4 linked regions of the Anolis sagrei genome follow. The protein of the gene in region 1 purifies or fractionates together with the protein of each later gene. This does not show direct contact. Links are inferred from orthologs where the notes say so. Each region holds a gene or a part of one and is shown in the gene's direction. Other genes may lie near its edges.

The links.
Region 2: the proteins of MMS19 (region 1) and DNA2 purify together in Homo sapiens (affinity purification with mass spectrometry; 3 studies listed by BioGRID and IntAct, counting the BioPlex papers as one, with this or other methods). This does not show direct contact. The link is inferred for Anolis sagrei from reciprocal best matches to the Homo sapiens genes MMS19 and DNA2.
Region 3: the proteins of MMS19 (region 1) and POLD1 purify together in Homo sapiens (affinity purification with western blotting; 3 studies listed by BioGRID and IntAct, with this or other methods). This does not show direct contact. The link is inferred for Anolis sagrei from reciprocal best matches to the Homo sapiens genes MMS19 and POLD1.
Region 4: the proteins of MMS19 (region 1) and CDKAL1 purify together in Homo sapiens (affinity purification with mass spectrometry; 4 studies listed by BioGRID and IntAct, counting the BioPlex papers as one, with this or other methods). This does not show direct contact. The link is inferred for Anolis sagrei from reciprocal best matches to the Homo sapiens genes MMS19 and CDKAL1.

The regions. Positions count from the first base shown.
Region 1 is NC_090023.1:217,825,298-217,832,897, reverse strand, and holds the start of MMS19 (MMS19 nucleotide excision repair protein homolog), read left to right. Parts: upstream 1-4,592; 5' UTR 4,593-4,630; coding exon 4,631-4,724; intron 4,725-7,600. UniProt on the Homo sapiens protein: Key component of the cytosolic iron-sulfur protein assembly (CIA) complex, a multiprotein complex that mediates the incorporation of iron-sulfur cluster into apoproteins specifically involved in DNA metabolism and genomic integrity.
Region 2 is NC_090023.1:170,563,868-170,571,073, reverse strand, and holds the start of DNA2 (DNA replication ATP-dependent helicase/nuclease DNA2), read left to right. Parts: upstream 1-4,195; 5' UTR 4,196-4,240; coding exon 4,241-4,377; intron 4,378-7,206. UniProt on the Homo sapiens protein: Key enzyme involved in DNA replication and DNA repair in nucleus and mitochondrion.
Region 3 is NC_090026.1:28,159,337-28,167,006, reverse strand, and holds the start of POLD1 (DNA polymerase delta catalytic subunit), read left to right. Parts: upstream 1-4,658; 5' UTR 4,659-4,692; coding exon 4,693-4,787; intron 4,788-7,120; coding exon 7,121-7,335; intron 7,336-7,670. UniProt on the Homo sapiens protein: As the catalytic component of the trimeric (Pol-delta3 complex) and tetrameric DNA polymerase delta complexes (Pol-delta4 complex), plays a crucial role in high fidelity genome replication, including in lagging strand synthesis, and repair.
Region 4 is NC_090024.1:78,905,110-78,913,006, reverse strand, and holds the start of CDKAL1 (threonylcarbamoyladenosine tRNA methylthiotransferase), read left to right. Parts: upstream 1-4,886; 5' UTR 4,887-4,978; intron 4,979-7,183; 5' UTR 7,184-7,186; coding exon 7,187-7,353; intron 7,354-7,689; coding exon 7,690-7,802; intron 7,803-7,897. UniProt on the Homo sapiens protein: Catalyzes the methylthiolation of N6-threonylcarbamoyladenosine (t(6)A), leading to the formation of 2-methylthio-N6-threonylcarbamoyladenosine (ms(2)t(6)A) at position 37 in tRNAs that read codons beginning with adenine.

The DNA.
Region 1 (7,600 bases):
AAGAGCCCTCAGTTCTGATTAGTTTCAGGCCAGGTATTTGTTAGTTGTGCCCTGGGATGCCAGAGACTAATTGAGGAGTTTCATCTTCAAAAGTTTGTTTTCTGACACAGAGCTCTGGCCTTCCCACAGCTTTCTGAATCAGTGCAAGAAAATTGAAAACATGACCTTGCTTTTAGTTTAGAATGTTATAATATGCCAAGGACGTTTTATCTGCCCGTATTTGTTACCATTCCTTTCCCTATTTGCACAGTCTCTGTTGTGTGATGCCATTGCTTCTCCCAGCACTCCCCATCATTTGTTGTCTCTCCCACTGCTGAGATCATCACCTTCTGTTGTCAATGGTACATTTTTAACTCAATGGTTTTCAACCTCTAGTTCTCCAGATTGTGTGGTTTCGGCTGCCAGAATTCCTGAACATTAGGCTACAACTTCTATGTGTTGAAGTCTAAAACAATTGGAGGTTCACCTACACTTAATTAATAAATAATCTGATTGCTATAGCCTATGGAGGAAAAAGCATTTAAATAACATTCTGAGATCTACCAGCTAGAAGCAGGTGCAAAATAGTGGCTGGAGTGCAGATTTGAGATACTAATGCTGGCTAAGGAAGCAGAGCTAATCATCAGTTATAGTTCATGATGCATAGACTAGGATGTGTTTATAAATCTATATCTGAGTGATTCCAGATCAGTAATTCTAACACAGTGCTAAAATTGCCTAGCAGAGCTTCACTAAGATGTGGTCATAAATAATAAATTAACTACCAACAGAGCTTTAAAAAAATTTAGTAAAATAATTACTTTACAGGAAATGAACAGTGAGGCTGGGAGATAAGTGACTGACATAAAGCCCTGAAAGGGAATTTATTTAATTTTTACTTGCTATTATTAAACTGCTGGAAGTGAAAAACCCTTTCCTTTATACGACTAATCACCAGCAGTCTGTCAGTATATACCTATATTTCATGTATCCAAGGAACATGTCTAAATATCTCAAAATTAAATATGCCCATTTAGGGTTTTGGCAGGTTGTACAATGCATAACAAGCCCTGCATCTGTGTGTGTCAACTTTGCATGGATAAACAAATCTGAGGCTATTTTATTTTATTTATTTATTTCCCGTATTTGTATCCCGTCACTTCTCAACCCCTGAAGGGGGACTCAGGACGGCTTACAATGTGCCCCGTTACAAGGCCGCTACATGACAATTACAATAATAAAATCACAATTGGACACAAATAATAGTTAAACAATACATAAGCAATCATTAAAACAGTAAAACAGTCTTGTCAGCCATATTGTCATTCCAGTCATGTCCCTCTAAAGTGCTGCTATATCTAATGTCTGAAAGCCTGGTCCCAAAACCATGCCTTTAATTTCTTTTGGAAAGCCAGGAGGGAGAGAGCCGATCTTACCTCTGTTGGGAGTGTGTTCCATAGGCAGGGAGCCACCGCCGAGAAGACCCTGCCTCTCGTCCCCGCCAGACGCATTTGTGCTGTTGACGGGAGCGAGAGCAGTGCCTTCCCGGATGATCTTAGATTACAAGGTTGGATGTAGGGGTGGATGCGTTCGGACAGGTAAGCTGGGCCAGAACCATATAGAGCTTTATAGGTCAAAACCAGCACTTGAATTGGGCTCAGAAATGGACCGGCAGCCAGTGGAGCTGGCACAACAGGGGGGAGGTATGTTCCCTGTATGTCGCCCCAGTTAGTAATCTTAATTTCTATTGAAATGAAGGACATCTGTCTAAGAATATGATTGGAGCTCCTTCTACACTGCCATATAAAATCTAGATTATCCGTTTTGAACCAGATTATATACCAGTGTAGGCTCATATAACCCAGTTCAAAGCAGATAATGTGGATTATCTGCTTTGATAATCTTGATTATATGGCAATGTAGAAAGAGCTAGAGTCACACTGGAGGGCTTAGAAAATTAGAGGACCTATTTGTCAGACATGGATACACGAAACCCATGGATACAGAGCTCATACTCTTCTGTTCTCTAATGGGAAGACTACAGTTGGTTATAATGAGTTTCTAATCTTAATGTTGGATGTTATCTCAAAAGCATATATTCAAAATAAATATTGTTCCAGCCAGTTGACAAAATTATGAGATCAAACCCTCTGTAACAGTCTCCCTCACACATACAAGTCCCGGTGACCTAACCTTTTAAAGATATCAATAACTTTGTGGGATTTAGACATAATACTAAGGGCCCCTCTACACTGCCATATAATCCAGAATATCAAAGCAGATAATCCACATTATCTGCTTTGAATTGGATTATCTAAATTTACATTGCCAGATAATCCAGCTCAAAGCAGACATTCTGGATTATGTGTTTGTGTGGAAGGACCCTCAGTCTCTTTGTTTATCTCGTTTAGCCAATGGTACTTTTTTTGGATGTTACTCTTCACTGGTTAAAATCTTTGATCCATCAGCAAACCAATTCTTTATTTCAGTATGTGTATTTTTTCTATAAAGCCATCCAGTAAAATGCAGTATATTTGAACAAAATGTTGAACATTATAAAACAACAAACAGGAACAAAGGTCAATCACCTTTGCCTTCTGCTTTTCCTTTGTCACATTCCCACTTGAAATAAATCTTGGATCTGCATCACTTTTAAAACCTCACTATGTTTATTCTAGGGCCCTTCCACGCAGCTATATAACCCAGAATATCAAGGCAGATAATAATAATAATAATAATAATAATAATAATAATAATAATAATGTTTGTTGTTTATTCGTTCAGTCGCTTCCGACTCTTTGTGACCTCATGGACCAGCCCACGTCAGAGCTCCCTGTCGGTTGTCACCACCCCCAATTCCTTCAGTCAAGCAAGTCACTTCATGGATAACATCCATCCATCTTGCCCTTGGTCGGCCCCTCTTCCTTTTTCCTTCCATTTTCCCCAGCATCATTGTCTTCTCTAAGCTTTCCTGTCTTCTCATTATGTGGCCGAAGTATTTAATCTTTGCTTCTACTGTCCTTCCCTCCAATGAGCATCAGGCTTTATTTCCTGAAGTATGGACTGATTGGATCTTCTTGTGGTCCAAGGCACTCTCAGAATTTTCCTCCAACACCACAGTTCAAAAGCGTCTATCTTCTTTCGCTCAGCCTTCCTTATGGTCCAGCTCTCACATACGTAGGTTACTGCGGGAGATACCATTGCTTTAACTATTTTGATCTTCTTTGCCAGTGTGATGTCTCTACTCTTAACTATTTTTTCAAGATTGGCCTTTGCTCTCCTCCTCAAAAGTAAACTTCTGATTTCCTGGTTGCAGTCTGTGTCTGCAGTAATCTTTGCCTCCACGTTTTCTTCCTCTATTTGCCAGTTATTAATCAGTCTTGTTGCCATAATCTTTGGGTTTTTTTTTTTTAAAAAAACTTCAGCCCAGCTTTTGCACTTTCTTTTTTTACCTTGATTAGAATGCTCCTCAGCTCCTCCTTGCTTTCGGCCATCAAAGGGGTATCATCTGCATATCTAAGGTTGTTAATGTTTCTTCCAGCAATTTTCACCCCAGCCTTGCTTTCCTCAAGCCCTGCACATTGCATGATGTGTTCTGCATACAAGCTGAATAGATTAGGTGAGAGTATGCAGCCCTGCCGTACGCCTTTCCCAATCTTGAACCAGTCTGTTGTTCCATGGTCAATTCTTACTTTTGCTACTTGATTGTTATACAGATTCCTCAGGAGATAGACAAGATGATTTGATATCCTCATACCACCAAGAACTTGTCACAATTTATTATGATCCACACAGTCAAAGGCTTTAGAATCTATATAAATAAAAATGTAATGTTAGTTTGTGGGATCAACATAACTCAAAAACCACAGGACGAAGTGACACCAAATTTGGACACAGTACACCTCTCAGGCCAACAAGTGACCATCACTCATAAAAACACTGAAAAACACAGCAGAAGAGACTTAAAAACCAAAAACCATTTTTTTTACAACAGATGTGCAAAACCACATACAAACACACATATACACAAATATAGACACAATAAACACATATATACAGACTGGACCACAGCAATGCATGGCAGGGGATGGCTAGTAGTCAATAAAACAGAAATAGATGTTTTTTCTGAAAACCTTCCCAGCTGGTAAACTGGGAAGGATTGCTGGGAGTTGTAGGCTGAAACACCTGGGGACCCACAGGTTGAGAAATACTGTGTTAAGTCTATTAAAAAGGTAAAGGTAGTCCCCTGACATTAAGTCTAGTCATGTCTGACTCTGGGGTGTGGCGCTCATCTCCATTTCTAAGCCGAAGAGCCAGCGTTGTCCGTAGACACCTCGAAGGTCATGTGGCCGGCATGACTGCGTGGCTCCTGGTTAAGTCTATTAGACCTGGGCAAACTTCGGCCCTCCAGGAGTTTTGGACTTCAACTCCCACAATTCCTAGGGAGTTAAAGTCCTAATCCCCTGAAGGGTCAAAGTTTGCCCAGGTCTATTGTAAAGTGTGCGCTTTTAGTCAATGGGACCAGGCAGCACCGCTTCCCTCGCCCTGCTTGGAGCTTGGCCTTGGGAGGCTGTCCCACGTGACAGGCAGGGAGAGAGACGCGCATGCGCCGTCGCGGCCTCTCCTCGCCCTACTGACTCTCGGCCTGATCATGGCGGCCGGCGGGGCGGGCGGGGACCTGGGGGCGGCTGCCTCCCCGTTGCAGGGCTGGGAGCGGGAAAATGCGGCCCGCGAGGCGGCGGAAGGTAGGGCTGGAGTAGAAAAGAGCGGAGGGATGCCTTAGAGCGGGAGGAAGGAGATGCTTGAAAGGGGGAGAGCATCTACTCCAGGCATGGGCCAATTTGGGCCCTCTAGGTGTTTTGGACTACAACTCCCACCATTCCTAACAGCCTCAGGCCCCTTTCACCTGGAGGGCCCAAGTTGGCCCAGGCCTGTTCTGCAATGTAGAATGAATACAGTTTGGCACCACTTCAACTGCTATGGCTCAATTTTATTGACTTTATGGGAATTGTAGTTTTACAAGGTCTTGCAACTTCACTGCTGGAGGCTGTGAGTGCCCCCCACCAAACTACAACTCCCATGATTCCATAGCATTGAGCCATGGTAGCTCAAAGTGGTGCCAAACTGCTTTAACTCTACAGTGTAGATGTTTGACACTGAGCTGTTAGAATATCATATGTCAAGGCCATTTCAGTGGAGTGACTTATATGAAATCCTGATCAAAATGAGTCAAGATCATGTGTAGTCAAATAAGGCATCAGTTTCTCTATTTCTGTGCATCTACATACTTCAGAATAAGGAAAATAGAGTGGGGGCAATTGGCTATTATCTCCAAGCAGTAAGAAGGCCAGCTTGTAGATGTGTGTTAATCATAGTTTCCGATGTGCTCCTGAGAATAGTTTCATTTTATTTGTTCTTGTGGGTAAGGTTGTGTTTAGCATTGTTACAGCTACATTTTTGTTGCTAACCATGCCGACTGCTACATGTATAAATTTGCACCAAAATTGTTTCCTTCCTTTATTGTTGCATTGTTTCCTTCCTTTATTGCATTCTACTTTTTCTTCAAATGAAATCCAAAATTATTTTGTTGTTAAATATGCAGCATAGAATCATTCAAAACATGAATGGAAAATTTGAAAAGATGGGAAGGGAAAAGAAAAACATTGAAGCTTTCTTCTTTGTCCACCTCAGCTAGCACTTCACTTGGATGTAAATAAGAAGCTCTGGCATGTTATCAGTCTTCTGCATCCCTGTGTTTTGTTTTGTTTTGTTTTTGAGAAGGAGCTGACCCTGAGTATCCAAGAGCAGATGCTGCTCATCTGCTTTTTGGGTGTGCATACTGCTCATCCAGGGACAGCCAGAAGGCTGAAGCAGATGCATGTAGTAATGTTTCTGACATGGAAAGCCTGAGTACTGCAACCTTTTATTATTTAAAGAAGGAGCCCCCAGTGGCTCAATGGATTAAACCCTTGTGCCTACAGGACTGCTGACTTAAAGGTCATTAGTTTGAATCAGGGGAGCAGGGTAAGTTCCTGTCTGTCAGCTCCAGCTCCTTGTGCAGGGACATGAGAGAAGCCTCCCACAGGAGGTAAAACATCTGGGTGTCCCCTGGGCAACATCCTTGCAGACGGCCAATTCGCGACTTTTTTTTTTAAAGAGACAAAACTTGTAGTGTTAAGGATCCCTGTGATGGAGATTCAACTGTGTAAGAAAGCATCCTGCTTGATGGTCCTATAGATCTGTGATTAAAATTTCTGTGATTAAATTCCCTGTTTATATCCAAGCCAAATTTTGTTCAACTTGGATCTTACCTGATAGCTCTACATAAGGTCAAAGTGCAGTGCCTGGGGTAATTTTCTCACACTTGACCACATTATATTTACAGTTGTACTAGAAGATAAAAAGAGGAGTGAAGATAAAAAATGGCGGGCCTCCCATTTTACAATGGGAGTGTACCTTGTACAACACATAAACCTTAGAGTGTACAGTCCTAAAAGTATTCATAAATAAGTCCCATAGTGCTCAGTAGAACTTATTTCTAGTAAATGTTCTTTGGATTGCAGCTAATGACAGTTGCTCAACATGTGTCTTTCTGGGAGTTCAGAAGCGAACTAAGTCTCTTGATTATCTCTCTAAAATGTCTAATTTAATGACTGATTAAAATATTGTCTTGCTTTTGGCAGGCATTTTCTTTCTGGGGTAAAAGGAAAGTGTATTTTGCTGTTTTCTGGGGCTGGGAATAGGGTTAGGCAATGCTTGTAGGGTTAACTTCTGAATGCCAGCCTTGCAGATTAAAATAATATTTCTGCTAACTAACTCTTACAGACTTGTGTATAAGAAGAAAAAGGAAAAAAATAAACCCAGATAAAAAGCCAGCAGTTTCATGTGCTTTGCTCACTGGGAGTCATTGCTGCAGCCTTTGTTAACTGTCTTTGTAGATTCTGTAACACTTAATTAGCATGAAAGAAGCAGTTTGACCATCATAAATTTTGATTGGTCCAGGACACACATAAACAAAATGTTTTCTCTATGATGTCTTCGAGATTAGGCAGAACTACCTTGGATGCTGAAGTGCTTATATAATTCATTCTTGCAATAGACCTGCTGGGACTGTGCTCACTTCCTTGTATCCTACCATCACAGCATTGTCAAATTGAGACCCCAACTACACTGATAATTTAAAGCTGTTTCAAACTGGTATTGAAGAAAGCGTTTTCACTGTGCAGATGATTTTATAGGACATTCTGGAACCAGCACAAAGCCCAAATGATGATCATACAAACAAAAGAGCTCATTAAGGGATTTATTTTGGGTGCTTTTGTGGGAGTTTGGTTTGGTATGATATTAAATGGTCAGTGTTGATGTGGCTTCAGGCAGACCATTCTTAAGGGCCTGGAAACAGCATGATTAGCAGCAGTTGTTTTTCATAGAACTGCAAGAATATAACAGATATTCAGAAGATTTGACAAAGCAGACATGATGATACTGTAATACTTGCTTTTTCTGGGGGAGTAGCATGGGGTGAGGAGGGCAAATGAAGGTAGGTTCTACTCACTTGAATGCAGAACAAATCAGCCTTGTGTTTATTTTTTTAATTTCAAAAAACCCTGGTAGCTTAAGG
Region 2 (7,206 bases), about 47 Mb from region 1:
AAAGAAAGAAAGAAAGAAAAACCACACAGATTTTGTAAATTTGGTATTTGGTTAAATGTCCTTTGACCAGTATCTGGCCACTTGGAGTGCCTCTGGGGTTGCCGCAAGAAGGTCCTCCATCGTGCATGTGGCAGGGCTCAGGGTGCATTGCAGCTTTATAGGTGATAACCTGCACCTTGAATTGGGACCGGAAAATAAACAGCAGCCAGTGGAGCTCCTTAAACGGGGGTTGACCGCTCCCTGTAAGTCACCCCAGTTACTAATCTGGCTGCCGAACGTTGCACAAGTTGTAGTTTCCGGGTCGTCTTCAAGGGTAGCCCCACGTAGAGTGCATTACAGTAGTCCAGTCTGGAGGTAACTAAGGCATGGACCGCCATGGTCAAGTCAGACTTCACGAGGTAAGGTTGCAGTTGGCGCACAAGTTTTAATTGCACAAAGGCCCTCCTGGCCACCGCTGACACCTGCGCATCAAGAGTCGGCACTGCGCCACCGGGGGCTCCATGAAATCTACTACCAGTATTAAAAATAGGCCTAACTAAACTAATACTACACCCCATATTATACCATACCAAAACCTCTGTATTGATTTGATATTAATGTTGAAATACTGTAAATAAAAGCAAATGAGGGCACATAAAGACAAACTTAATGTAACTCAGTTTTACTATATTATTAAAATAGCCTCATGAATGTAGTATGCAATTTTAGTTACGTGGCCACCAATAAACTTTTGTCGGTTGCTTTTGAGTTCCAGTTAATTGAGAGTCTAGTGTATATGCAAGGAAGTAATCTTAATATCCAAGATGATATTAAACTTTTAGCGGGTTTTGCAGCAATATAAGCCCACAGTCCATTCCTTAACTTTGTCCTCAATAACTTTCTAGCATCTTCAGAAACACAAGAGTACAAGAAGCAGGTTCTTTGGACACCTTCCTTGAGTCCAGAGGCTTCAGATTTTCTTTGTGCATTTCCTCATATTACCTATGAATGTCAACACTCTTGTTATCTCGGAAGTGGCACATACCAGCCTACAGCAGCCAGCGAGATAAGCCTCTTGGCTAAACATTTCAGGCCATTTCTTAGACCTATTGAAAGCAAAAGCCTGCAGCGTCTGCAATATTTCCAGGGGCTCATGGCAGAACCTTAAATCTGACATCTCTCCCAGCCGTGTTCCTTGCCTCTGGCTTTGTAAACTGGCCCAAACCGGTGTTTCTTTTCCTGTGACCTTCTACAGTGCTCTTTGGCCAATAGAGTGGTTGCTTCACACTCCTTCTACACTGCCACATAAAATTTAGGGCCCTTCCACACAGCCCTATGTCCCAGAATATCAAGGCAGAAAATCCCACAATATCTGCTTTAAACTGGGCCATCTGTGTCCACACTCAGATAATGTGGGATTTTCTGCCTCGATATTCTGGGATATAGGGCTGTGTGGAAGGGCCCTCAGTTTATCTGCTTTGGAGTGGATTATATGGCAGTGTAGACTCCTATAATCCAGGTCAAAGCAGACAATCTGGGTTATCTGCTTTGTTAATCTGGATTATATGGCTGTGTAAAAGCTAAGTTGCTTTCCAAAACTACAAAGTCCAGGTTTCCATAGCATTGAGCCATGACATTTCTGCTTTAATTCTAGATACAGCACTCTAATGACAGCACTCAACTATTTCGGGCAACTTTCTAATCCTTTGGCACAAGGGTACATCTGCACTAATGCAGTTTGACATCACTTCAACTGCCATGGCTCAATGCAATGCACTTTTATTTATTTATTTAGAACTTTTATATACCGGTCTTCTCACCTCCAACGAGGGACTCAGGCCGGCTTACAACAAGGGGTTCATACACAGTAATTTAAAAACACCATATCAATAATACACTAATATAAACACATTAAAGTGCTATCATATAATTATATAAAGTAAAGTCTTTGACATGATGGCAACAGGATGGGACAGCAATGGCTCCAAAAGTGACCCATTTAAGGTGGAATCCGGTCAAACAGGGATGTGTTATTGCCCCAACTTTATTCTCCATCTTCATCGCTATGATACTTCACCTTGTTGATGGGAAGCTCCCCACCGGAGTGGAAGTCATCTATCGGACAGATGGCAAGCTATTCAACCTCAGCAGACTGAAAGCCAAAACCAAGGTTACAACATCTGTTATAGAACTCCAGTATGCTGATGACAATGTTGTCTGTATGCATTCAGAAGATCTACAAGCCACTCTAAACACCTTTGCAGAAGCTCCCAAACTCAAGGTCAATGCCCACCAAACCCTTCCAGTGTGTTCTGTTGGTCATGGAAGTCCTGCATGCCATGTTTGGTTCAATTCCATCATTGGTGGAGTTCAGAATGCTCTTTGATTGTAAGTGAACTATAAATCCCAGTAAGTACAAATCCCAAATGTCAAGGTCTATTTCCTCCAAACTCCATCTGTATTCATATTTGGGTATATGGAATATTCGTGCCAAGTTTGGTCCAGATCCATCATTGTTTGAGTCCACAGTGCTCTCTGGATGTAGGTGAACTACAACTCCAAAACCTAAGGACACTGCCCAACAAACCCTTCCAGTATTTTCTGTTTGTCATGGGACAGTGGTTCTCAACCTTCCTAATGCTGCGACCCCTTAGTACAGGTCTTCATGTTGTGGTGACCCCCAACCGCAACGTTATTTTCGTTGCTACTTCATAACTGTAATTTTACTACTGTTGTGAATTGTAATGTAAATATCTGATATGCAGGATGTGTTTTTCAGTCACTGGACCAAATTTGGCACAAGTACCCAAGACACCCTAAATTGGAATGCTGGTGGGGTTGGGGGTGATTGATTTTGTCATTTGGTAATGCTGGAGTTGCTGGGATTTATAGTTCACCTAAAATCAAAGCACCTTCTGAACTCCATCAATGATGGAATGGAATCAAACATAACACACAGAATTCCCATGACCAAGAGAAAATACTGGGAAGGTCTGGTGGACATTGACATTGAGTTTTTGGAATTGTAGTTCACCTACATCTAGAGAACACTGTGGACTCAAGCAATGATGGATCTGATCAAACTTGGCACAAATACTCAATATAGAATCATAGAATCAAAGAGTTGGAAGAGACCTCATGGGCCATCCAGTCCAACCCCCTGCCAAGAAGCAGGAATATTGCATTCAAGTCATCCCTGACAGATGGCCATCCAGCCCCTGTTTAAAAGCTTCCAAAGAAGGAGCCTCCACCACACTCCGGGGCAGAGAGTTCCACTGCTGAACGGCTCTCACAGTCAGGAAGTTCTTCCTCGTGTTCAGATGGCATCTCCTCTCTTGTAGTTTGAAGCCATTGTTCCACGTCCTAGTCTTCAAGGAAGCAGAAAACAAGCTTGCTCCCTCCTCCCTGTGGCTTCCTCTCACATATTTATACATGGCTATCATATCTCCTCTCAGCCTTCTCTTCTTCAGGCTAAACATGCCCAGCTCCTTAAGCCGCTCCTCATAGGGCTTGTTCTCCAATGTGAACACTAGTAGAATTTGGAGAAAATAGACCTTGCCATTTGGGAGTTGTGGTTGTTGGGATTTATAGTTCACCCACAATGAAATAGCATTCTGAAGCCTACCAACGATAGAATTGGACCAAACTTTCTACACAGAACCCCCATGACCAACAGAAAATACTATGTTTTCTGATGGTCTTTGGCGACCCCTCTGACACCCCCTTGCGACCCCCACAGGGGTCCCGACCCCAAGGTTGAGAAACACTGTCATGGGAGAACTGTGTGCCAAGTTTGGTTCAATTCCAACGTTGGTGGAGTTCAGAATGCTCTTTGATTGTAGGTAAACTATAAATCCCAGCAACGACAATTCCCAAATGACAAAAACATTTTTTTTAGTGGAGGACATAAATTGGACTGTTAGGTGTCTTGTGTCCAAATTTGGTGTCATTTCCCCCAGTGGTTTTTGAGTTCTGATGGTAGAAAGAACTAACATTACATTTTTATTTATATAGATGATTATTATTAATATTATTGCCCTCCGACAAACTCACTTTAAAAGGAGAGGCGCGCGCTGGCAAGTCTCGTCCAAAAGGGGAAGCGGGAAGCGATTGGGAAAGAGAGAGGTCTGATTTTACCCGCGCGCAGCAGGAGCCCCGCCCCCGGCGCCTGATTGGCCAGCGCGACTTTTGCGCATGCGTATTGCAAGGGGCCCGGCATGATTGGCCCAGGGTCCTCATTCTACTCTGTGTTGCTTTGGAGATGGCGGCTCGAGTCGAGGAAGAAGGAGAAGAGGAAAGGAGGAGGAGGGCAGAGCTGGAGGAAGCGGCGCTGGAGGAACTGATGGAAAGGAGCTTCTTCGAGGAGGAAGAGGAAGAGAAGGCTCTTCCTTTGCTCAGGTGGCTGCCTGGAATGAGGAAAGCGCGCGGTTTCAAAGAGCAAGGGCATCAGCATGGATTTTTTTTAGCGTTGGGTCTCTTGAGGAAGAACTTCCTGACTGGGAGAGCCGTTCAGCAGTGGAACTCTCTGCCCCGGAGTGTGGTGGAGGCTCCTTCTTTGGAAGCTTTTAAACAGAGGCTGGGTGGCCATCTGTCAGGGGTGATTTGAATGCAATATTCCTGCTTCTTGGCAGAATGGGGTTGGACTGGATGGCCCATGAGGTCTCTTCCAACTCTTTGATTCTAAGAACTTCCTGACTCTGAGAGCTGTTCAACAGTGGAACTCTCTGCCCCGGAGTGTGGTGGAGGCTCCTTCTTTGGAAGCTTTTAAACAGAGGCTGGATGGCCATCTGTCAGGGGTGATTTGAATGCAACATTCCTGCTTCTTGGCAGAATGGGGTTGGACTGGATGGCCCATGAGGTGTCTTCCAACTCTTGGATTCTATGATTCTATGACTCTGGGCCCACACTGCCCTATATCCCAGGATCTGATCCCAGATTATCTGGCAGTGTAGACTCATATAATCCAGTTCAAAGTAGATCATCTGGGATCAGATCCGAGGATACAGGGCCTCAGCAGATGGTGGCCCCTACCACCCATCCATTCAAGATATATGAGCTGCCTCTAGTTGTCACTCTGGCAGACATAACCATGGTCATATTAATAGCTGGGAGGGTCTTTGCACAATTGGAATGTGTCCAGAGGAGGGGGACTAAAATGATCAAGGGTCTGGAGAACAAGCCCTATGAGGAGCGGCTTAGGGAACTGGGCATGTTTAGCCTGAAGAAAAGAAGGCTGAGAGGAGACATGATAGCCCTATATAAATCTGTGAGAGGAAGTCATAGGGAGGAGGGAGCAAGTTTGTTTTCTGCTTCCCTGGAGACTAGGACGCAAAACAATGGCTTTAAACTACAAGAAAGGAGATTCCATCTCAACATGAGGAAGAACTTCCTGACTGTGAGAGCCGTTCAGCAGTGGAACTCTCTGCCCCGGAGTGTGGTGGAGGCTCCTTCTTTGGAAGCTTTAAAACAGAGGCTGGATGGCCATCTGTCAGGGGTGATTTGAATGCATCATTCCTGCTTCTTGGCAGGGGGTTGGACTGGATGGCCCATGAGGTCTCTTCCAACTCTTTGATTCTATGACTCTGGGCCCACACTGCCTTATATCCCAGGATCTGATCCCAGATTATCTGGCAGTGTAGACTCATATAACCCAGTTCAAAGCAGATCATCTGGGACCAGATCCGGGGATACAGGGCTGTGTGGGTAGAGACTCAGCAGATGGTGGCCCCTACCACCCATCCATTCAAGATATATGAGCTGCCTCTAGTTTTCACTCTGGCAGATATAGCCATGGTCATATTAATAGCTGGGAGGGTCTTTGCACAATTGGAATGTGTCCAGAGGAGGGGGACTTAAATTATCAAGGGTCTGGAGAACAAGCCCTATGAGGAGCGGCTTGAAGAGCTGGGCATGTTTAGCCTGAAGAAGAGAAGCCTTAGAGGAGACATATTTATTTATTTATTGTGTCATCAGCAACCATTGTATCACAATTCTAACAGAGCAAAACAAACACACAGATTAAAAAGAAAAAGGAAAAAAAACCCACAGATTTTGCAAATTTGGTATTTGGTTAAATGTCCTTTGACCAGTATCTGGCCACTTGGAGTGCCTCTGGGGTTGCCGCAAGAAGGTCCTCCATTGTGCATGTGGCAGGGCTCAGGGTGCATTGCAGCAGGTGGTGAGTGGTTTGCTCTTCTCCGCACTCGCATGCCGAGGATTCCACCCTGTAGCCCCATTTCTTAAGATTGGCTCTGCATCTCGTGGTGCCAGAGCGCAGTCTGTTCAGCGCCTTCCAAGTCGCCCAGTCTTCTGAGTGCCCAGGGGAGAGTCTCTCATCTAGTATCAGCCATGAATTGAGGTTCTGGGTTTGAGCCTGCCACTTTTGGACTCTCGCTTGCTGAGGTGTTCCAGCGAGTGTCTCTGTAGATCTAAGAAAACTATGTCTTGATTTAAGTCGTTGACGTGCTGGCTGATACCCAAACAGGGGATGAGCTGGAGATGTCTCTGCCTTGGTCCTTTCACTATTGGCTGCTACTTCCCGGCGGATGTCTGGTGGTGCAATATCGGCTAAGCAGTGTAATTTCTCCAGTGGTGTGGGTTAGGGTATTCTGGATATTGTAGTCAGAAAGAGTGCGGCCATCTTCCAGCTGCTTCCCGGCAAAGATGAGCCTCTGCTGGTCAGGCGGGATGCCTTCTTCCTCCTGGATCTTGGCCTTCACATTCCCAATGGTGTCACTGGGCTCCACCTCCAGGGTGATGGTCTTTCCTGTCAGGGTCTTCACAAAAACCTGCATCTTCTATGCAATTTTGATGATGTTGCTTGTTGTTTATGTTCTAGATCAGGGGTCCTCAAACTTTTTGAACAGAGGGCCAGGTCACAGTCCCTCAAACTGTTGGAGGGCCGGATTATAATTAGGAAAAAAAACATGAATGAATTCCTATACTTCACATATCTTATTTGTAGTGCAAAACACTTAAAAACAATACAGTAATTAAAAATGAAGAACAATTTTAACAAATATAAACTTATTAGTATTTCAATAGGAGCCCCCGGTGGCGCAGTGGGTTCAACCCCTGTGCCGGCAGGACTGAAGACCGACAGGTCGCAGGTTCGAATCCGGGGAGAGGCGGATGAGCTCCCTCTATTAGCTCCAGCTCTTCATGCGGGGACATGAGAGAAGCCTCCCACATCAAATCATCCAGGCGTCCCCTGGGCAATGTCCTTGC
Region 3 (7,670 bases), on another chromosome or scaffold:
TTTCTTCCCACACTTTCTCTTCCTTCCTTCCTTCCTTCCTTCCTTCCTTCCTTCCTTCCTTCCATGCCCTTATACCTTTCCTTCTTCCCTTTCTCTTTTTTTCTTGTCTTTCTTCCCTCCTTTTTCATTTATCCTCCACGGTCCTCTCTTCTTTTAGTTTTCTCTCTCTTTCCTTCCTTCCTTCCTTCCTCTCATACATTTGTCACCTAGCAACAGTCAATCTGCTTCACTCTATAATATTATATATTATTATATTATATAATATTCACTATAATATGAACCCCAAACCTTCAATTTCCAGTTAAGAACCACCTCTCTCTGTAAGTCCTGTACTTTTTGTGCAAGTACACTCTAAAAAAATATGAAAACCAAGGAACCAAGCAAACAAACTCAAACAACATTGTTTGTTTTTTTTTTAAAAAAAACTGTATAAAAGGAAGTACTTTTGCTAGAAGTGGGAAAGAAAAGGGAAGCATTTTTCACAATAGGGGGGTTTACATGGGAACCAAACCACTATATACACTTTGTCAGAGTTTACGGAAATACATGCAGATTATCAAAACATAATGGATAAATTTTGCCATGCAGCTAAAATGGTGCAAGGACAATTTATGGTTATCTACACAGTAGAATTGATGAAGGTTGACACCACTTTAACTGCCATGGCTCAGTGCTAATGCAGTTTGGTGAAGCAACACAATTTGACTCCTGTATCAATAAGGTAGTAAATTCATGCAAGTTTTAAAAATTCATACAATGATGAGCTCTCCAAGGTCTTTAACCCTATTCCTAAATCAGTACAGCACCTTGGAGAGCGACTAAAATAAATCAGTGGTCTGGAGATCGTATTCTTTGAGGAGCCGCTTAAAGTTCTGGGTCTTAGCTGCACAAAGAAGAGGAGACATGATCGTCATGCTTAAATATTTGAAAGGATGTCACAAGTATCTTCAAGTATTGACAGCTGACTCTTGGTGATCCTATCAATTTCATTTTTTTAAGGCAAGGAATACCCTGAGTGGGTTTTGCCAATTCCATCCTCTGAAATATAGCCTACAGCACCCGGTATTTCTTGTTGGTTGCCCATGCAAGCACTAACTAGGGCTGACACTGCTTTGCTTCCACAATCAGACAGGATCCGGTGCTCCATAGAACAGTATTAATGCCCACGAAAGCCATTATTTATTTATCATGTCAGAAGCAAATTGGGAAAAGAGTTATAATGTATAGGGAAAAAAAACCAGGTTAAAACTTGGCATTGCGCTAAATTTCCTTTGATCAGAAGCTGGTCACTTGGAGTGCCTCTGGTGTCGCTGTGAGAAGGTCCTCCATTGTGCATGTGGCAGGGCTCAGACTGCATTGTAGTAAGTGGATCATGGTTTGCTCTTCTCCACACTTGCATGTCATGGACTCCAATTTGTAGCCCCATTTCTCTGGTGCCAGAGCGCAGCCTGTTCAGTGCCTTCCAGGTTGTCCACTCTTCTGTGTGCCCAGAGGGGAGTTTCTAATCTGGTCTCAGCCACTGATTGAGGTTCTGGGTTTTATTCTGCCACTTTTGGACTCTTGCTTGCTGAGGTGTTCCTGCGAATATCGTACGAATATTAGAAAGCTATTTCTTGATTTAAGGCGTTGGTTTACTGGCTGATATCTGAACAGAGGGTGAGCCGGAGATGTCAATGCCTTGGTTCTTTCATTACAGGCTGCTACTTCCCGACAGATGACAGGTGATGCACTACTGACTAAACAGTATAATTTCTCCAGTAGTGTAGGGCATAGATATCCTGTGATAATGTGGCGTGATAATCTCACCATAAATTGGAATTGTCTGGAAAACATACAAGGAAGGAGCTTATTGTGGCTGGTGGGATCCTGGGGATTTTATGTATTTTTATAGCATGATGTTTTACTGTGTTTGTTTTTGATTGTATATCTTGAATGTTTCACCCTTTGACAGCAAGGGTATTATAAACAAAGGTTATTATTATGACTTCATGCAAATACTGGTAGTTTCCCCACCCATTGCTTTTCTGAATAATAAAAAATAATACTTGCCAATGCAAATGAAACAAATTATTGAACCTATATTGGGTACAAGGGTTGGCATTGTGGGGAAACTTTAATTATGTTAGACCTGCAAAATAACTCATTATTTTTACATTGCTGGCAGAATTGCATGACACTTCTTCAGTATAATCCAATGCAGACATAGAGGTGTGTAGGTAGTCCCTGTGTTGCAAACATCCGACTTACAAATGACTCATAGTTAAGAACAGAGATGAGATGAGACAAGAGGAAGTGAGAGAAACCTTCTCCTCGGAGGGTAAATTTACCCCTGGAAGAGTTATCATGAGGAAAGAGTGCCTCCACGGAAGCTTTATCACCAATCCTTGTTTCCACAACAAGCAAGTTTTCCAATGGTTACAGGGGTGTTAACTCTTACTCTAGGAATGAGCTCCCTCTATCAGCTCCAGCTCCTCATGCGGGGACATGAGAGAAGCCTCCCACAAGGATGATGAAAACATCAAATCATCCGGGCGTCCCCTGGGCAACGTCCTCATAGACGGCCAATTCTCTCACAACAGGAGTGACTTGCAGTTTCTCAGGTTGCTCTTGACACAACAATTTTTTTTAAAAAAAATTGTTTTACTCTATTATTATTTTTATTACATTTGTTATTTGACTCTCTTTATTATTATTGAAGGTTAGAATAATGGTTTAATCAAAGTTGGACAATCTTATCTTAAATGACAGTTTTATGTAAATATTCAAAAACATTTAACCTACTGATGCCTCAATTAATGTAATTTTATTGGTATCTATTTTTATTTTGAAATGTACCAGTAGCTGCTGCATTTCCCACCCTAGGCTTATACTTGGGTCAATATGTTTCCCTAGCTTTTTTGTGGGAAGATTAGGTGCCTCGGCTTATATTCAAGTTGGCTTATACTCAAGTATATACGGTGTGTGTGTGTATGGCTGAAGTTACACGTAAAAATGTACCTGTTCAAACTGACATACAAATTCAACTTAAGAACAAATCTACAGAACCTATCTTGTTGTAGCGTGCGGACTGCCTGTACAGCCTGTTTCCTTTTTTTTTTTTTTAATATAAATAAGGGAAATTGATGGGTGAGATTAAGAGATTAAATGAGGAACTATGAATTCATCTGAAAGAAAAGTGGAGACAAAGATTGCGGGTTTTGGCTTAAATTCACACTTAACCAAATTTTCATTAATTGAAAATCAGAATTTCTCCCCCAAGGGTCTTTCCACACAGCCCTATATCGCAGAATATCAAGGCAGAAAACCTCATATTATCTGAGTGTGGACTCAGATAACCCAGTTCAAAGCAGATATTGTGGGATTTCCTGCCTTGATATCCTGGGTTGTTGTTGTTCATTCGTTCAGTCATTTCCAACTCTTCGTGACCTCATGGACCAGCCCACACCAGAGCTCCCTGTTGGCCGTCACCACCCCCAGCTCCTTCAGTCACTTCAAGGATGCCATCCATCCATCTTGCTCTTGGTTGGCCCCTCTGCCTTTTTCCTTCCATTTTCCCCAGCATCATTGTCTTCTCTAAGGTTTCCTGTCTCCTCATGATGTGGCCAAAGTACTTCATCTTGGCCTCTACTATCCTTTCCTCCAATGAGCAGTTGGGCTTTATTTCCTGAAGCATGGACTGGTTGGATCTTCTCGCTGTCCAAGGCACTCTCAGAACTTTCCTCCAACACCACAGTTCAAAAGCATCTATCTTCCTTCACTCAGCCTTCCCTATGGTCCAGCTCTCACATCCGTAGGTGACTATGGGGAATATCATTGCTTTAACTATGCGGATCTTCATTGCCAGTGTGATGTCTCTACTCTTCACTATTTTATCGAGATTGACTATTGCTCTCCTCTTAAGAAGTAAGTGTCTCCTGATTTCCTGGCTGCAGTCTGCGTCTGCAGTAATCTTTGCACCTAGAAATACAAAGTCTGCCATGGCTTTCACGTTTTCTCCCTCTATTTCCCAGTTGTCAATCATTCTTGTTGCCATAATTTTGGTTTTTGTTGTTGTTTAACTGCAATCCAGCTTTTGCGCTTTCTTCTTCCACCTTGATTAGAAAGCTCCTCAGTTCCTCCTCGCTTTCGGCCATCAAAGTGGTGTCATCTGCATATCTAAGGTTGTTAATGTTTCTTCCAGCAATTTTGCATTCATCAAGCCCCGCACATCGCATGATGTGTTCTGCATACAAGTTAAAAAGGTTGGGTGAGAGGACGCAGCCTTGCCGTACGCCTTTCCCAATCTTGAACCAGTCTGTTGTTCCGTGGTCAGTTCTGACTATTGCTACTTGGTCCTTGTACAGATTCCTCAAGGTGGCTTGGTATGCCCATCCCACCAAGAACCTGCCATATGTATTATGATCCACTCAATCAAAGGCTTTAGAATAGTCAATAAAACAGAAATAGATGTTTTTTTTTAAACTCTCTGCCTTTTCCATTAACCAGGGCTCTGGATATGGCCTTTGCCCTCCTTCCGCCACATCTTTGAGCTTCAGGAAGACCTTTTGCGCCTGCGCGTTAGATGACGGCTTATTTTTCTACCCACACTAAATATGCCGGCGGTGGCGCCTCCGAAGGCATACGCATGCGCAGCGCAGTCGACGGCTCGCGGAAGAGTCGTTGCTTCCTTGTCACTCTCCAGTGCGCTGGCCAATGAGGAGCGGGTTGGCATGGCAACAAGGCACTGGGCAGGCACGCTCCTCCCCTGAGCTTGTTGGCGGGAGAGTGCTGAGGGAGTCAGGAGAGAGGTGAGAAGTGTTTGGGGAGGAAAAGGGGGAAATAGCGGATAATGGGAGTTGGGTGCCAGTGGGAGGAAGGTGTCTCTGAAAGGAAAGAACCTATAGTAGTTATTTGAAGGGGTGAAAGTTCAAACATGTTTAGGGCACCATTGAAATGAGTGGGAATGAGGTGCCTGAACTGTAAATGGAGTTGAGGCCTACCTGGGAAAAGGAAACTGGAAAACTAGAACAGTTGGGGATAAGGTACTCTTACTTTGGGGGGCGCGGGGGAAACGACTACAACACTCAGAATCCACGAGCCCCCTTTTCAGTGGAAGGTGGGAGTTGAAGTACAAAAAAAGATTAACATTTCTAAGGTTATAATGACATAAATTATTGAACCTATGTTGGGTACAAGGGTTGGCATTGTGGGGCAACATTAATTACGTTAGACCTGCAAAATAACTCATTATAGTGGGTTTGTGTGAAAAAGGAGAATGAAATAATTACCCCAGAGGATAGGATCTGACACCCAAATGACCTTAACAGATTAGAGAGCTGGGCCAAAACCAACAAAATATAATGTAATGTAATGTAATATATTGTATATACATATAATATTATAATGTAATACAATGTAATACTACTAATAATGTGATATTATAATTATATATTTTATATTACATGTAACATTACTAATAATATTACAATATAATGGTATAGTACAATATAGTAATATATAGTACTGATATTCTACCATGCTAATAATATAATATATTGTGTATATATATATATATTCTGTAAGCCGCTCTGAGTCCCTTTCGGAGTGAGAAGGGTGGCATATAAATGTTGTAAGTAAATAAATAAAATAAAATAAATTGCAAAAGGGAGAAATGTTCCATACTCATTCAAACAAAAAAATGAATTGCACAGGTATTAAATGGATGACACCTGACTTGAAAACAGTTCGTGTGAAAGGGATCTGGGAGTCTCAATAGACCACAAGGAGCCACAGTGGTGCAATGGGTTAAACCCTTGTGTCATCTGAACTGCTGACCTGAAGGTTGGTGGTTTGAATCCGGTCACTGGGATGAGCCCCTGTCTGTCAGCTCCAGCTTCCCATGTGGGGACACGAGAGAAGCCTCCCATAGGGTAGTAACACATCCGGGCATCCCCTGGGCAACATCTCTATAGACGGCCAAGTCTCTCACACCAGAAGCGACTTGCAGTTTCACAAGTCTCTTCTGATACATTTTAAAAAAAAAAGACCACAAGCTAAACACGAGCCAGCCATGTAATGCAGCAGCTCAAAAAGTCAATGTGATTCTAGGCTGTATAGTGTTTAGATTGAGGGACCTGTTTTAGAGACTATTTTATGTATATCTTGTACAATTATAGAATGGTGAAATTGAAGGGGATGTAGGAAATCCTGGGGATGTAGGAAATCCACAACTTAAGTATTCCCGGCAGAGGCTTATACAAGCTTTGTTTAAAAACTGAGGCTGGATCTACACTGCCACTTTATTTATTTATATATTCAATTTATATACCACTTTTCTCACCCCAGAGGGGGGACTCAGCAGTTCACATTACAAATGGCAAAATTCAATGCCTCACAAGTATAAAAGCATCATATATCAAATCAACAACATAAAACAATAAATCAAAACCATTAAAGCTATACAACTGTAAACAACAATCACAGACACAACATAAAACATTTAAACCTTGCATCAAACCCGAGTTGTCTTTAGCTACTTCCATAATGCAGATTAGCTGTGTTAAACTGGATTATATGACAGCGTAGACTCTTATAATCCAGTTCAATGCAGTTAATCGACATTCTGAAACTATATTATATAGCAGTGTAGATCTAGCCGGAGAGGTCCATCATCTGCCAGAGTAATCCATTCCAGTGTCAAACAGCCCTTATGGTCAGAGGGTTCTTCCTTAATACATTGTCAAAAACTTCATATAGTCTAAATTTATTGACAGCTTTTTGCCTTGGCATCAATAGCACTTCCATTTATCTCTTACTGTGTGAATTAAATAAGACTGAAGCTTTTCATCAATATAAGCAAGGCCTGTACAAATGTGATTATGTGTCTTTGATGAGGAAAAGGCAGTACCACATTTGAGAGGGAAAGGAGGCAAGTGGTAGAACCACCACTAAGCCCTGGACAGCAAAGTGTGAGCAGTTGCTTGTGAAAGAAATAGGCAGTACAGGTAACTGGCACTGAAATATCATACTCTGATTTTGCTGTGAACACATGTCCAAGAGGTGTGTGTGTGGGGGGGGGGGGGGGAGACTTTGGCTTTGATTAGGGAGTGGGCTGGCTGCTGAAAATTATTTGTTTTCTTAGGAATGCTAATATGGAAAACAAAAGGAAGGCTTCTAAAGGAGGCTCCGGTATGGGGGAACCCACGTTGTCCCAACGGAAAAAGTCACGAGGAGCGGACTGGGAGGAAGATGCTCCGTCCCAGTTTGAGGAGGAACTGGCCTTTCTGGATGAGGTGGAGTCTGAGATGGCTTTGGAGGCAAAGGAAACACAGCTGGTACCTGATGACATCCCCCTTGGTGAGTTAGATGGGGACAAAATAGGGAGGACACTCCCTGAGCCGGTGAGGCTGAAGGGTTTTTAGGATGCAGTGAAGAAGCTAGGAAGCCTGTTTTGCATCAATCATGTTGTAACAGCTCTTGGTTTTTAACATGAATATATATTTTCTTTTGTTTTGAAAATTTTGTATATTCTGTGTTACAGGATTAACATTCATTTGCATTCCTTTAGAAATTCATTAAGTCCGAGTTTCTCAAACTGTGCTTCAGATGTTTTGGACTTCAACTCCCACAATTCCTAATAGCTGGTATGCTGGCTGGGATTTCTGGGAGCTGAAGTCAAAAACACCTGGAGG
Region 4 (7,897 bases), on another chromosome or scaffold:
ACTTACCTTTGAGGGAATTAATTTCCTCAAATCATTTTTTCTTGTAAAATACACTTTAAATGTCTTACAGTCCTAGATGAAACATAGAGATGATGGTTCCAGTATACCATTGGGTATTTGGAGCAGCCAAGTATGTGTTTTTGTAACTATTTGGAGAACTGAAATCCTGTGTTACTTCTATTTGGCAGGGAAGGGAAATTAGGCAGGGTATAGATTTTATGTAGACCCCTTCCCCTCCAACAGAACAGTCGTTTGGTAGGATTTCACTTATCTTTCCCCAAAGAGCTATTCATCCACAGCCCCCTATTTTGGATGGAGCTTGTGACATGCATCCTGCTGTCCATCCTGTTGAAATACTTGTGTGGGACTTCCAAATGCATATTAACCACTAGATAGATCAGGGTGACCATTTTGTCTATTTTAAAAAACTGGAAGTTTCAAAGAAGTAGATGTGAGGGTGTCATTTTTTTTTTAAAATGTAAACAAAGATGCACCATTCAGTTTAACTATCTGCAGTGTGCAATAAGACTGGTAGAGAAAGTTTGCGGTACAAAGTTGGGCGGTTTTAAAGTGCCTACAAGAATTGCACTGTGGGCTTTTTCTGCAAAAGGATATTTATGGCATGCTTCACTTTTCAAAACTCTGTGTTTGTTTTAGTGGGTTAATTGCCTCTGCTTCCAGTTTTGGGAGCTGATACAAAGCCGACACTTCACCCAAAGTGTAAATAATACACCTTTTAATACCCACTTTATTGAATAATAATTTATAACTCTTTTACTGGTATAGTGTATGTTCTGACATGAATAGAATTTGCACCCGGAGTTGTGTAAAATGTTGCCATTTTAGGTTAATAGGTTGAATAACCCAAACAGTTTGCATTAGCTTTTTTTTCTATCTGATACTTAATAAAATACTAAAATGTTTGTGTTTTATATATAAATATGTTTGCAGGTTTTCTGGTACCTCTGAGATGCTGCTATAGACACACATGAAATAGCTGAGTAAAAGTATGAAAGCTGTATGATTGAGTCTTGGAATATAATTGTGTAAAAAGAGCAACACATTAAGAACTGTTAAACAGTGTTAAGTGTGTTTTTTATATATGTACAAACATGTGCATAGTTCATTGGATATTTAAGTTGTGTGTTCTGATATTTTAGTCATCTAACAATTTTGTACAATAGGAATGAATTTATAAAACCTGCCAGAATTTTATAGCTGGTTTGTAATTTCTTGAAGAAAAAAAATAACGTGGGTCTGTAAATAATAAAAAATACAGTATTTAAAGTTTGTCTTGTGGAGGAAATTAAAAGGTTTGTGTGAACATGAATGCTTTTACAATATGAAGGGCACCGCTGTAGGAAGAATGAAATGAAAGGGAAAAATGTTATACACCATTTTGTACAAATTACTTACGTCAATTTCTGGGCAAAATACTAACCTTGAGTAAGCTAGTTCTACAAATCTGTAAAATAATGTAAAAAAACAAAAAACAAATAAAGCCCAAGAACAGCTTTGCATTTGTATAGATGGACCTGTTCTCAAGCAGTGACCTTGCCTCTTCCAATGTATGTAACTCACCATTTTTATGGTATTAAATAAAGCTTTATATCAGGAAATCATTGAATTTTAAATGCATTTTTCACCAAAAATGGCATTTGCAGGGGCAGCAAGCAAAATGTTGCAAAGTGACTAGGCTGCCTGTGTTTTCTTAGCAGTTTGATAAATGGGATGGTTTTAAATGTAGCGGCATATTGTACTTAAGCTTACCATTCATTCCACTTGATTATACAGATAGTAAAATGTACTTCGCTGTACCAGGGCTTCTTAAACTTCTCCACTCACAATCCTTTTCAGCCCTAGAAATGTTTATGTAATCCCAAGTATATGAAATAGGTATAAAAACCAAACATTTACTGATAATAAATCAGCATTTGCAAGACTTGCTTAACAGACTTATTTTCCATTTTATGAAGTTCAGCTGAAACATCTTCTACAGATGCCACTGCAAACACTACACGACAGATTCATGTAAATGTCTAAAACAGTGGTTCCTTACCTGTGGGCCACAGACCACCAGTGGGCCATGAGGACTAAAATCTGGTCCGCAAGCCTCCTTCCTCCTTATTTATTTATTTTATTTCCGCTCCTTTTGCATTTACTGCATTTGTTGACCGCCGTTCTCAGCCCTAGGGCTTGCCTCTACTTCCCTGTCACTGGCCATCCCGGCCCCCTTGGATAGATGACACCAGCTGTAGATTATTAAATATGGTTATCTGTGGGTGAGCAGATGGCGACTACTGGATGGCATATTGTCTGTATAAGAAACTAGAGCTGATGTGGTCTATCCAATGCAGGTTTTTGAATCAGCACCCCAAATAACCAAATCAAATCTAGAGTTGACCAAAAACTGATTCACAGGCCTTTTGGTACTAGTGTTGCAGAGTACTCCCTGGTCAAAAAAAGGTTGGAAACTATTGTCTAAAACAGGGGTCCTCAAACTAAGGCCCGGGGAGTGGATATGGCCCCCAAGGTCATTTACCTGGCCTCAGTCAGGGTCAACCTAAGTCTGAAACTACTTGAAAGCACACAACAGCAATCCTATGTCATCAGCCAAAAGCAGGCCCACACTTCCCATTGAAATACTAATAAGTTTATATTAGTTTAAAGTGTTCCTCATTTTAAGTATTGTATTGTTTTAAAGTGGTTTTTTGCACTACAATAAGATATGTGCAGTGTGCATAGGAATTCATGTGTCCCCCCCCCCCCCAAATTATAATCTGGCCCTCCAACAGTTTGAGGGACTGTGACCTGGCCCTCTGTTTAAAAAGTTTGAGGACCCCTGGTCTAAAACAACCACTAGGTGACATTCAGAAAAGTTTACTCTTGCCAGATTTGGGACCCCAGCATTGAGCTCAGGGGACACCATTTGGGGTTGGGACCCAAGTTTAAGAAGTAATGGGCTATAACGCATATTATAATAACTATTGGAACTATATGAGGATAAGCTGCCTTATGGTCTATCTAACCTGCTACTCCCACAAGGGAATGGCAGTAACTCTCCAGGGTTTCATTCAGGAGTTAGTCCTGCAGCATATGGTTGATGCAAAGGCTGAAATTACTGAGCTAGGAATGAACCCTGGTTATTGCTATTGATTTAGTCCTTTCCCCCATCTAAATCCAGCAGCCCTGGCAGAGTAATAAAAATCACTGATTTTTATTCTTGACTTGATTCACAGGTAGTTTACCATTGTCTTCCTCTGAGACTGGGAGAGTTTGACTCGCCCATGGGTTTCCTCCAGTCATAGTTCAAAGCTCAAACAACTAAACGACTCTTTCCTACTTCAGTTCTTGCAGCATAAACATTGAATCAAATCAGATATGTAATCTGTTATATCCCAGCTCCTGAAAACGGGTAGAGAAGTATGGAAGAGCCCTAGTGAAAATTGGGAGTGTTGTGTGGAGCTTGACATGAAAGTGGAGCTTCAGAATAGAAATGACAACTGGAGCTGTAGCTCTGCTCTATTATTGCTATGCTGTTACTGCAATAATAGATGAGAGAAAAATTAATTCTAGATTGATTAGAGAAAAGACTGTCTACACAGTTGAAAAAAAATCTGGCATCATCCCTGTCTATTGGACCTGCACTGATCCTGTTAATGCTGCACACACTTCCTTGTAAAATTGTCCTGGGGAACTCTCTTCTCCCATTTCCAATCCTTCAAATTATTTTCAGCTCTCTCTCTCTCAATCTCCCTCTCCCCCCCCCCCCCCCCCACTTTGTTGATCTTTGTGCTTTGAATGCGATTTCCCTGTTTCTTGGCAGGGGGTTGGACTGGATGGCCCGCGAGGTCTCTTCCAACCCTATGATTCTGTCTACATTGTAGAAGTAGGGCAGTTTGACACCACTTTAATTGCCATGACTCAATGCTATGGAAATAATGGGGACTGTAGTTTTTTAAAGTCTTTATCCTTCTCTGCCAAAGAGTACCGGTGGCTCACCAAACTGCAATTTGTATTATTCCATAGTACTGATCCATGGCAGCTAAAGTGGTGTCCAACTGCATTCATTCTACACTATTGGTGCACCCCTGTCAGGCATGCTAATAAGTGTATTTTCTGTTTGTTTGTTTTTTTATAATAACCACCTACCAGTAGTAAAGAACTGGTGGGATCATAGACCTGCAAAGGTAGTAGAAAATGAACATGCAAAAATACTGTGGGACTTTGGGATCCAGACTGACAACGTTTTGGAACACAATATGCCAGACATCACAATTGTGGAAAAGAAAAAGGTTTGGATTATTGATGTTGCCATACCGGGTGACAGTCACATTGAGGAAAAGCAACAGGAAAAACTCAGCTGTTATCAAGACCTCAAGATTGAACTGCAAAGGCTCTGACATAAACCAGTCCAGGTGGTCCCAGTGGTAATGGGCACACTGGGTGCCGACCTCAGCTGGCATTTTGAAACAATTGAAACATTGACAAAACCACGATCTGTCAACTGCAAAAGGCCACCTTACTTGGATCTGAGCGCATCATTCGAAAGTACATCACAGTCCTAGATGCTTGGGAAGTGTTCAACTCGTGATTTTGTGATATGAAATCCAGTATATATATATATCTCGTTTGCTGTGACTTACTGTGTTCTTGTGTCAGTAAAATAATAATAATAATAATAATAATGATGTATTATTATTAAACGCTACAGATAGGACAGGGAAGTACTAAAAAGTAAAATCCATGTCCGTGGATAGTCTTTCTTCAGCTCCAGAAAGTTTCCAAGAAGAGGAGTGTCACCTCTTTTGACCCCTTTCCATCCTCTGAAAAGGAGCGCTTCTCCTCGTTTCGCGAATCCGAAAGCGACTAATTTTGTCCCTTCTGCCGTGCCGTCCGTGTTTCCGACGCAATAGGGGGCGTGGCTTCATCATGGCGTCGCCCATGTGGAAGTAAAGACCGCGCTTGGGTTTTGCAGGTGAGTGTTGTCATTCGTGCAGCTGCTCTCCTTCCGAAAGGCGTTGTTTCTTTTTCCTCTTTGGGGCTGCGAGAGCGGGGGGAGCCAAACGGGTGGCCTTTGGCGGTGGGTCGCCCTTTGGGTGGCTGGGGAAGGGCGCAGGTCTCCAGATGGACTGCAACTCCCATCATTCCCAGCTGGGAAAGCCGTCGGTGAGGAGTGCTGGGAGTTGTAGTTCAGCTATGCGTGGAGGGCCGTCCTGTCCCCCATTCCTGAGGGTGGGGCCTTCGCCGTGTGGCAAAAAAATACTTTCTTTGCTTGCTGCTGTGTGGGCCGATATGGGCCTTACTTCATCACACTAGAGAAAAAATCCACTCAAAATCCGGTTTCTGCCTCCTGTAGAATTCATGGGTTTGTAGTTTAAGGAGGAGCCTTTAACAGCTTCACTAAACTACAAACCCCAGAATTCTGCAGGAGGCAGAAACCGGATTTAAAGTGGATTTTTTCTCTCCAGTGTGATGAAGTAGTAAGTCACCTGTCAGTTTATGGCTACCCCATGAGTTCCATAGGGGTTTTAAGGCAAAGAATACTTACTTGTATCGATATGGTGGTTGTGCCATAGCTTTTCCAAATCTCATTGGGGTGAAAAATCGTCACTCCGGTTAGATCCACACTGCCATATAATCCAGTTTCTGTTTCTAGATTATTTGCTTTCAACTAGATTATATGACAGTCTTCGTGTAATCCAGTTCAAAGCAGGTACAGGGTTATATGGCAGAGTACAGGCAGTGCTCAAGTTATAAACATCCAACTTATAAACAACTCATCGTTAAGAAGGGGGCGGGGTCGAGAGACAGCAGGAAGTGAAATAACTACTACTCTGAAGGGAAATTCGCTCCTGAAAAAGTTACTGTCATGGGGAAAAGGGGTCTCCATTGAAGCCTTTTCACCCATCCTTGTTTCCACAACAAGCCACATTTTTCAAAATCCAATTATCCCAGAGATTGAAAGTGAGTTGAAATCTTCTGAACAGGGACACAAAAAGGAAAACGAATACCACAGGGGTGTTAACCCTTTCTTGTGATAGCCAGGGCTGACCTATCTTTCTATCTATCTATCTATCTATCTATCTCAGGAGTTACATTTAAAAATGTACCTGCTCCAACTGACATACAAATTCAACTTAAAACAAACCTACAGAACCCATCTTGTGCGTAACTTGAATACTGTCTTGTAGATTCAGCCTCTTTGGCCACAAATGCAAGGGCTGTTTCCCATGAATCATATCCTTAAAGGTGGTGAGTGGAATGCTTCAGAATGATAATAAAGAATAATAAAACTTTATTTATACCCCACCACCATCTCCCCAAGGGACTCGGAGCGGCTTACATGAGGCCAAGCCCAACAGTACATCAATAAACAAAAGCAATAAACAAAAACAATAAGTAAATTAATATAAATCACATAATAAACAATAAACAGTATCACACAAGGAGCTATCTACCCCCTCCCCTTGCTTGAACTGGGATGTAACAAGCCCTCTTCCACCCCTGAGCCAACGGATAATGAACAGAAGCTTCTTCTACTTGTTGTACCAGGAAGAGGATGGGGTTCCCTGTGTCGTTCTGAAACACCTCATGTGCCCACACTACAGATCTTTTTCACTTGGAGCAGCTCCCATGAGTTTAAGATTGGGCTTGGTGGGTATTTACAATTGTGGTAATAATCCCTGATTGTGAATAAGTGAAGTGTCTGAATTTAGTCCAGTAACAGTTTTGTAACTCTTACGTTGTCAACCTGTAACTACATTGCAGGAAACCCAGCCATTGTTTCTTAATTTTTACTGAGTATTTTAATTGGTCTTTAATTGTATTGTCGAAGGCTTTCACGGCTGGAATTACTGGGTTGTTGTAGGTTTTTTGGGCTGTATGGCCATGTTCTAGAAGCATTCTCTCCTCACATTTCACCTTCATCTATGGCAGGCATACTCAGAGGTTGTGGTCTCACAATGCCATAATTATTAGAGTGAATTCACAGAGCATATGCTTCTTTATTTTTTTTAAAAAAATGAGCAATTTTCCATGCTTGGTTATGGATTATTGTTTTTGTCTGTTGATTAGTAATACCTTTATATTCTCCAGTTGGTTAACAATTAAAATGTAGAAGCATTTACAATTGAATGGTTTTGTATTTTTTGTTCCAATATTGTACATCCTTTTTTTGTAGAAGATGTCTGCAGTCTGCAATTCTCTCCTTGAAGACATTGAAGATATTGTGTCAGCCCATGATCCAAAGCCACTTGACCGGCAATTTGCAAGACAGAGCATTCTTCCTAATGTGCGAAAACGCCATTCACAAAAAAATGTAGAAGTGGATGATGATCCCCCAAGTGACAGGTATGTGTTATCTTTTAAAAGATGTTGCCAAGCCAAAGTAAATGCAGGTAAACTCAGAACAGGTTTGAAATCTATTTAAAATCTAAAGAATTTAAGTCCTCTCACGTCTGCTCTCTTTTCTCTAATATTTTTTTCTAATATATTTAAATGCTGCTACAGGGCTTATCATATTTTATTTTAATAGTATATACAAATGCTCAACAAATATTATGTTGCTACAATTTCTTACTCAAAGGTATTTATGAACTTTCACAGCTTGATAGTTACTGTAACCTTCTATGGACAAATGTTTCTTATGGGATGAAATTGACATTCTTGTATCTCTTTATCTGACAGCATTATTCCAGGTGTACAGAAAATTTGGATACGCACATGGGGATGTTCTCATAATAGCTCAGATGGAGAATATATGGCTGGACAGCTGGCTGCTTATGGATACAAAATTACAGGTAATCAGCTCAATGCATTTGATTTCTTTCATAGTGTTCAGCCTTGTCTAGAAATTTCAATTTGCTGTTCGGTTTTTATTTTACTTCATTTTATT